Nothobranchius furzeri: one gene and its partner. The protein of the gene in region 1 interacts with the protein of each later gene in a pairwise test. Links are inferred from orthologs where the notes say so. Each region holds a gene or a part of one and is shown on either strand. Other genes may lie near its edges. The genes, in order: gtpbp3 and protein mono-ADP-ribosyltransferase PARP11.

Region 1 (4,506 bases):
TTGATGGTTTATTTACACTGTTCTTTTACTGATTTTATTGACTTCTCTTGGTTGGTTCTTTGTGCTATGCTCTAGTTGTTTTATTCTTTTAAATTATTCGTTTAACCTTATATGTTCTTACCCCTGTACAGCACTTTGGTCAGCTCACATGCTGTTTTTAAATGTGCTTTATCAAATAAATGGAATGGAATGGAATGTTCTGACAGTGGGATTAACCCTCTCAGGCTCAAAATAAGTTTTGATAAAAGGACGAAAAACTAAGTCCTTCAGGGGTACTTCTGAGTTAAAAAATGCTCATGAAATACGTGCGTGGAGTAACCTGGTAGGAAGGTTTTAACGTTGCAAATCTGTAACACCTGCCTCCAGAGGGTTAAAGGAAAGCAAATTGTGTTTGTGGTCATCTTAATTATCAACATCATCTTGCTGCAGATGGAGTTACTGTAAGATGATGATGGAGTGCATCATTCAACCATCAACAAAACTACTTTACACAAGGAGATGCTGTATGTGAGAGACGATGCAGACGAAGCCTTTTCTCCACCCACAGCACAAACAAAGCTGCTTGAGGTACGCTGAAGCACATTTGGACAAGCCAGCTTCATTTTGGAATAAGGTGCTGTGGACTGATGAAACAAAAACTGAGTTATTTGGGCATAACAAGGGGTGTTATGCATGGAGGAAAAAGAACACAGCAGTCCAAGAAAAACACCCGTTACCTACAGTAAAACATGGTGGTGGTTCCATCATGCTGTGGGCTGTGTGGCCAGTGCAGGGACTGGGAATCTTGTTAAAGTTGAGGGACGCATGGATTCCACTCAATATCAGCAGATTCTCGAGACCAATGTTCAGGGATCAGTGACAAAGCTGAAACTGCACCGGGGCTGGATCTGTCAACAAGACAACGTCCCTAAACACTGCTCAGCATCTACTAAGGCATTCATGTAGAGGAGTAAGTACAACATACTGGAACGGCCATCTCAGTCCCCAGACCTGAATATTGTTGAACATCTGTGGTGTGACTTTAAGAGAACTATCCATGCTCAGAAGCCATCAGACCTGAATGAATTAGAGATGTTTTGTAAAGAAGAATGGGCCAAAATACCGTTAACCAGAATCCAGACTCTCATTGAAAGCTATAGGAAGCTTTTAGAGGCAGTTATTTCTACAAAAAGAGGATCTACTAAATGTTAAGTTAATTTATTGTTTGTGGTGCCCAAATTAATGCACTTGTCTAATTTTAATTAATGCATCGTTCTGTGAATCCTATCAACTTTGTTTGACTTCTCAAATATTAACGTGTGTGTCTCCTTTATGATACATTTAACTACAAATGTTTTATCGTAACAACCAACTATTTATACAGGAAAATCTTGAAGATTAACAAGGCTGCCCAAACTTTCGCATCCCAGTGTTGAGAAGGATAACGGAACTAATTATCGTTGGCATAACGCTACGGACTGAATGATTTGATGCACAGTAGGCGGAACTTCCTGTTGATCGACAGGTTCTCAGCGAATAGGAGCTCAGATTTTTCACACATGAAAACAGCATGGACGACATATCAAATAGAGGAGACGAGTCGGGTCGATTTTTTATTTTTAATGAAAGTTTAACCGATATAATTTAAATATTTGACCTTCGTGTCAGTAATAGCAAGGTTAGGTTTCCTGGTCCGTTTAGTAGAAACTATCTGAACGGCGAAAAAGCCATAAATACAGATTATAATGAGGACTAATTGTAAGTCTGAATGATAAAAAGGTGATAATTTAATAGTTTATATTTATTCCATAATTATGTTTCGACCATCGTCCATCCATCGTGGAGTGTGCAGAGCTGTGATTCGCGGACTTTGGACAAAGTTGGTTTAAAACTTTTAACTTTTACGAACATTTTTAAAGTCATTCTGGTTATAAAATGTTGTTTATGTCGTGATTAAGGCGTCTGATCTGTATAAAATGTGACTTAAGGCCCTTTGGAAAACGAAGAGCTTCTGTTAAAACATGTAAAACAAAAACACAACATTCCTTTTGGATTTTTTTTTTTATTGTTAATCTGTTAGAAACCAGTGTAAGGTTAAATCATTCTACATATTTAAGGTGTTTATACACTGACTTTTTCCAAGGAGCATAGTTTTTTGTAAACCTTTAGAGGCATAGTAATCAGTAGCTTTCAGGTTCTCTGAAGGTCTTTTTTATTGTTGACGTTCACTGCTGATGTGGCCTAATATATCTAATTAATAATTTATGTCCTCCTTAAATCCAGTAGACGCACCTCTCTCCATCGTCTCCTGTCCACGTACGGTGGAGTTCAGGGTGGGCTGGCAGACGCTGACACCATCTTTGCCCTGTCATCAGGTTATGGCAGGTGTGGCGTAGCTGTGGTACGTGTCAGTGGCCCTGCCTCAGCGACAGCTTTAAGGAGTATGGCTGGGCACCGCCTGCCTCCTCCACGAACTGCTCTGTTGCGCAGCATCACAGATCCCCTCTCCGGAGAAATGCTGGACCGTGGGCTTGTCCTCTGGTTTCCAGGTGAGCCACATAATTCAGAACATAATTCAAACTTTATTTGGTGTTCCCTTTTTTTTTTGCCAGCTTAAGAGCGTTTATTGAGGCTTGAGTTTCTTCCTGTCACAAGTCCAAGCCTTGCTTTATCTGGATCAAAGTCTTAGACACAGGCTAACTTAAAAATCAAAAGAACTTATCGTATTCTTCTGCTTATGTCATCAGCTCCTCACAGCTTCACAGGAGAAGACAGCGTGGAGTTCCACATCCATGGTGGTCCTGCTGTCATTACTGCTGTCCTACAAGCTCTAGGTAAAAAAAAAATTAAATACTAATAAAACCTGTCATCATTTTGAGTCCATCAAAATGCATATTTGCGGCTTAAATTCCCCAAGCCATAAGCCTTCAAAGTAATTCTAAGTGCTCCATCTGGTAGAGTCATGTGACTGTCTGTCATGTGACTTAAAAGAGAAAACTGCCACATGCACTTCTATTTCTAAGATGCTTAAAATATTTGCTTTGACAAGCATGTCAGTCCCTTTTGTGATGGACAGGAATTAATTCACTTCTGCTCTGTTATCCGCCCAGTAGGGGGCAGTGGTGCATAATACAAAATAAAGAATCTACCAGTTTGTTGTCCTGTGAGATTTTACCATTCATCAGAGTTCTATACAAAATAATCCATACAGTCAGTCCCAAATGGATTTATGCAGAATGTGTGAACTATTATTACCACTGAAATGTTCATTTATTATTTAGAACCCCCATTTCCCAAATGAACATGTGTTCTTTATTGTCCGCTAATGAGATCTAAAGAATGGTTGTAAGAACAATGCACACATGACCGTTGATGACCTGCAGATGAGTCTGTTGTGAGTCCTGGTGAACCTTAAGTACCTCTCTGACCCCACATCTGATCCTGCTCTCTTTGTTTGCGTAATGCACACGTGCACCACCTCCGTTTCTTCATGTTTTTGTTTGTATGTGTGTGTTTTGCAGGAAGCGTGCCTGGCACGAGGCCTGCTGAAGCTGGGGAGTTCACGCGAAGGGCTTTTCAAGCAGGGAAGCTTGATTTAACAGAGGTGAGTTAGAAGAGTCTGTACAATAAAATAAATCTGCTTTGTGCGTTTTTATGTGAGTCTACAGGACACCTGGAAAAAACTATTAAATAAACCTAAATGGTTCCTCTTGACATAATCCTGTAGGAGCTTCAGTGAGGCTCTGATGTTAGGTCATTGTTCTTGAGTGCAGTGAATCGGGTGAGTGTGCATAGATTAAAATGTTTTTGAAACTTGAGAGCCAAAGGCTTTAGTGTTTTTAAGGTAAAAAAAAAACACATTTTCATTAGAGATAAACAATTTTTTGTCCTGGGGGCCAAATGCTGACCTGTTGATACCAATTTAGGCCAATTCTGATTCTTTTTTTAAAACAGCAGCAGGAAACAGAGGAGGTATAAGCTGAATGCAAAGCTTCATAAATCTCCTAACATGATATCCTCTAACAAACCTGATCACGTATGAGAGGAAGTTATGTCTTTATTGCTGTTGGTTGGATATTCATTTGCATTACCAAGGATTTAAGAATGAACTTAAATTGACTAAATCAAAATGATCCTGTGTAAATCCTGATGAAGGTGGAGGGACTCGGGGATCTGATTCATGCAGAGACCGAGGCCCAGCGGAGACAAGCTCTTCGACAGATGTCAGGAGAACTGGGACACATCTACCGGGACTGGAGCCACAAGTTGAAGCGAGTAAGTCTAGAAATAGTTGTAATTTATACTCTGCTGGAATTTTTCAGCTTTCTTCCAACTGTTTGGATTCATCATGGTTTCAGATGCTAAAATAAAGCTCCAGATTTATGATATGATCGATTAAACTGATTTGTATTGCAGGAACTTGTATACTTGTTTTTTTTATTCACTACACTAAAACCTGTTGATCTGTTTGGATTTAAATGATTTTTCTGAAACTTTCTCAGTCTTGACTCAGGCTTTCTGTGGTTC
Region 2 (4,440 bases), on another chromosome or scaffold:
GATTGCCCGAGATTCACGTTTTCTAGCATTTGCAAGCATTTCCTATGTATATGAAGAAAATAAATCATGTTAAATGGCTATTTATGACATTTCCATTCCAGCTCAAGTGTGTATTTCATTGCATCATTCTCTATTGATAAAATCAAAACAAGCCTGACAGTGGGTGTACAAAGCAGCTATTGTGGAGGGTTTGCTTCTCTAGCTGAGCCTTGTTTTTTACCCTCAAACATGGGGCAAATCTTCCTCCAGGCAGTCACCCCACCCTCACTGGTGTATTGGCCCAGTGCGGTCTCAAGGAAAAACACAGGGATGCCACAGAAGAAGAGGAACACGCAGTAGGGGATAAGGAAGACCCCTAAATACGAAATAATTCATGAGAAAATCTAATAATTTTCAATTTTCATTGATTGAAATCTCCCACAGATGCAGCATCTTACCTCCTCCATTCTTGTAGCACAGATAGGGGAAACGCCAAACATTTCCAAGGCCAATAATTTCTCCTGCCATGGAGAGAATAAACTCCATGTTGTTGGCCCATTTTTCCCTTGGCTGAGCCCCCTCTTCTGGATCCTGTTTATCCTGGCCAGGCTCACCAACAGTGGTTTCCTCAGTCATAATCAGGCTAATAAAGACGCTCGAAATGTAACATCTGGTGCATTTTATAACACTTCATGATTCTCATATGCAGACATGGGTTAAAAGCTTTTACATTACAGGATGTTCATGCTCATCATCACTAAGCAATAAAACAAGCCTGACAGTTTTCAGGCTCCTCACATAAACTTTAAATAGACATATGTACATTTTGTGTGCAGAGTCTGCAAAAGTAAATCTTCCCACGAGTTTGTTACTTACCCGTGTGCTTTGTGTGATCCCGTCAATGCAATTCTTTAAATGCCTGGCAGAAGTTTCAAGAGAAGTCTTCACTCTAAAATAGGGGAGTGTCTTGCAGCACATACTGGGGCTGTCCCATGCTAAATAGAAAATGTCTAGTATAGTCAACTATCAACAACAAAAAAATAGCATAATCAAAAAAATGTAGTTAAAAAATGTGCTTCTCCAACATGTTTGTCCAATGTGTGAAATGTTGTGATTTTTTTACAAAGTTGCTTTTAATTTAAACTACTAATGAAGCTACTCAGCATGAAAAGTCTGTGAATTCTGAACAGTCAAGAATTTCTTGTACTTCTAAAACATATTTCTGAAGCGGATTATGTGCCTGTCAGGACAAAGCCCGGGTTCTTGTGCTCCACAAAACTAAGTAGGCGGTCCTTCTTTGAGTTACGCACTGTCGTTTGTCGAATGACGTAAGCACAAACCAGGAAACAAAAGTAAACAACGCATTGGGAAAGAAAAAAAATAATAGTTAGTGAGCCAGATTCAGTCTCTTTCTTTGATGTTGTCGGTGTTTTATGATCGGTTTTTAGGTCTGTTTATTTCAACAAAGAAGACCCGGTTAGAATCAGGCGTAAAGCCGGAAACACCCGCGGAGCTAAGAGGAAACGGCTGCAGCAACAGCTAATGAGAGCTAGCTGGATAAGAGATGATTCTTTTGTTTTCTTTATTCACAAGATGAAATGCACCCTAAACTATGTTGTAAACATGACTCGTCAACGTTAGGTTTGTCTGAAATCAGCATATAAGATCCCCTAATTGCGTCCCATGTTTGCCCTTCAGTGAGTTTGTTTGCTTTGTCTGTGTTTATATCAGTTTTGGCAATGTTAGCCATCAGGTCATCAGAGGAGGAGTCCACGGAGCTGGAGGAGATGGACATCTCTGAACCAAACTGGTGCTGGTTCTACTTGGCTGAGTGCGGGGTGTGGCATATGTTTGAGGTATTTTGCATCATACTACAACTCTAAATGGTGTTATTAGAAAATGTTTAAGTACACCGCCCAATTATTTTGCTTGAAAACTGTCAGGGTGTACCATATTAAATGCACCCAAAAGCCTAGAAGGCATTATTTTTTGCTTGAAATGAGCCAAACTTCCTTTTGATCTTTTTAAGTTGTATTGAGTAACTTTTCTTTAGACTTTATAAAAGTATTTTAAAGTTGTACGCTCAGACATTGTGTCCAATACAGATAAATTATGTTATTGTTTATTTGTTTACCCACTTCACTTCAATTCAAAGTATTTTTTTACAGTTTTGTCAATCAGAATTGTTCAGCTCCTCGCTTGTTTTCTTGATGTCCATCAGATTGATCCCAGTGCAGCCTGCTCAGTAACAAGCGCCCAGATTGAGCAGTGCTACAACAGGAACCAGCGTGGGGTCATGGAGTTCTACACAGCCAAGTACACCTACAGATTGGACTTCTCAGGTAAACTATAATGTTTGATAAACAACATTAGGTTTGTCCATTTCATTTTTAAACTGCAGTGTTAAGAAAGGTTAAGTAGAAATACTGAAGCATCTCAAAATCAACACAAAAACTCAGTTCTGATTGGATTTTTTTTTTTTACGTTTGCTCTGCGTTTTGTTTTTGAGCGCCTGTTCTAATGCTTGAAAACTTCCTCTCCAGTTATGCGACAGATAAATGTAACAACGGGCAAACAGCGACCAATCAAACGCTCCCTGCACTCTGCAACTGGTTTCAGGTGAGATTTTGCTGTTCAAATTGAAATAAGACATTAGGAATACTTTTGGTGCATCGGGAAACCTCTGCTCTGGACTTAATTGTCAGCACTGAAAGACATGTTGGCTTCTGTTTAAGAATCAGATACCTGTTTCTTCTGCGAGCTAGTACTCACCAACTTTGCTCTTCCAGGTTTATTTGTGATAATTTGGCCTTGCCTGTTCCCTGTCACTGGGAGAGAATCAATACAGATGAAACCTATCAGGTAAGTAATAATGTGAGAATGGAGGGCTTGAAACAAAACATGCTGTTAAGTTATTTGGCAAAGATACATAACAAATTTCATGCCAGAGAATAGCAAGGATGTGATGAAAATTAAGGCTTTCTTCTGTATTTTAGATTAACAAATATTCTACAAATTTTAAAGCATTATCAGTTCATGTTACTCCACAGCTCCCAGAAATCTCACTTTTAAATGTGGTCATCAATCGTCAATCAAAGCCAAAGGTAACCTAGATCTACTCATGAACAAAATGATTTTGTATCATCTTCAAAAAGAAAGAAAACAATATTTTATATAGTGCCTTTCAAGATAAAAGTCACGAGGTGCTTCACAAGAACTAAAATAAAAAAAAAATAAAAACAATTTAAAAAAATCATATGATAAATAAATAAGAAATAAGTGCCGGTGGCTCCTGGGAAACAGAATAAGGATAGAGTAGAGATGAAGGTCACCAAAGCCAGCCTGAACAAATGAGTTTTCAGCTGCTAACATTCAAACATCATAGGTTTAAAGACCCGTGCTATGCTATTTTACACCTTCCAGAGCAACAGCAGGCATAGTACTGTATGTGATCAAATATTTCAGATGACCCCCCCCCCCCCCCCCCCCCCCCAGTACACAGCAGCAAACCCAGAGACCGGAGACTGACGCTTGCTGCAGAATCACAGTAAGACAATCTGGCTCAGTTTTTGAAGTTCCTAAAGAATACATCCAACCCTTTCTGCTGATTTAACTCTTCAGGAAGACTGGACAGGGATCCTGTATCTCTCGCAGGCAAAAGTCCATGTTTGGGTTCTAGGCATTATTTAAAGTGCAGACTAAATAAGAAAGAAAATCACTTCTTCATAACTGTGGAACTTAAACTGACTAGCTACACGTAGAGACTGGGCGTTAGTGTTTACAGTCCAAGGGAGGAGCAATCCGGACTCGAGAGACTACCTGGATAGAGAGGAGCGAGTAGTGATAATTCAGCAGCAATCCCGTCTAGCTGAATTCAATAACTTAGCAAAGATTTGCAGGGCTTAAAGGTAGAAGCAGCTGAAGCCATGTGTAAAGCCAAAAACCACTTTGGGGGAGTTTTTGAGGAAATAACAATAAAACATCATCACAAGCTAAAAAAAAAGGATTTTGTAATGTGTAGAATTTTACTTTTGCATTTAGAAATCTTTTCCTTTCATGTGATTTTGTTTTTACAGCTCATCCAGCTCAGCAGAGACACTTATGAGTTTAAGGAGGTAGCCAGACTGTACGAGAGGACAATGGATCATCCATTAAAGTCCATCCAGAGGATTCAAAACTTGGATTTATGGGAGTTCTTCTGTCGGTAGGCAGCTTTGTTTTAGTTTAAATTGGTGTTGGCCCTGCAGCGTTGTCATCAGGGCCGTGTGTGAGTAAAAGGTTCCTCTGTGGCTGTAATTCCATTCCAGTCATTTTGTTATTTGGTTTCATACACCCGCTAAATTCACTTAGACTTGACTTTAGCCTGTGGACATTGGAGGCAATACATCTCCTGAGCATCAGTGTAGTGGGTCTTTCTTCTGTTAGACACTTATTTGATTTCAGTTGGTCTTTACTCATCAG

What was found.
Region 2: the proteins of gtpbp3 (region 1) and protein mono-ADP-ribosyltransferase PARP11 interact in binary tests that used the Homo sapiens proteins (3 or more experiments, as listed by UniProt). The two-hybrid records come from large-scale screens. The link is inferred for Nothobranchius furzeri from reciprocal best matches to the Homo sapiens genes GTPBP3 and PARP11.

The regions. Positions count from the first base shown.
Region 1 is NC_091748.1:66,786,823-66,791,328, forward strand, and holds the start of gtpbp3 (tRNA modification GTPase GTPBP3, mitochondrial), read left to right. Parts: upstream 1-1,540; 5' UTR 1,541-1,793; coding exon 1,794-1,858; intron 1,859-2,262; coding exon 2,263-2,528; intron 2,529-2,726; coding exon 2,727-2,813; intron 2,814-3,500; coding exon 3,501-3,583; intron 3,584-4,134; coding exon 4,135-4,254; intron 4,255-4,506. UniProt on the Homo sapiens protein: GTPase component of the GTPBP3-MTO1 complex that catalyzes the 5-taurinomethyluridine (taum(5)U) modification at the 34th wobble position (U34) of mitochondrial tRNAs (mt-tRNAs), which plays a role in mt-tRNA decoding and mitochondrial translation.
Region 2 is NC_091741.1:45,966,475-45,970,914, reverse strand, and holds the start of protein mono-ADP-ribosyltransferase PARP11, read left to right. Parts: upstream 1-1,439; 5' UTR 1,440-1,577; coding exon 1,578-1,620; intron 1,621-1,710; coding exon 1,711-1,835; intron 1,836-2,200; coding exon 2,201-2,321; intron 2,322-2,522; coding exon 2,523-2,598; intron 2,599-2,768; coding exon 2,769-2,841; intron 2,842-4,055; coding exon 4,056-4,183; intron 4,184-4,440. Other genes in the region: sodium- and chloride-dependent GABA transporter 2, read right to left, coding at 221-355, 438-615. UniProt on the Homo sapiens protein: Mono-ADP-ribosyltransferase that mediates mono-ADP-ribosylation of target proteins. Plays a role in nuclear envelope stability and nuclear remodeling during spermiogenesis. Inhibits the type I interferon activated signaling pathway.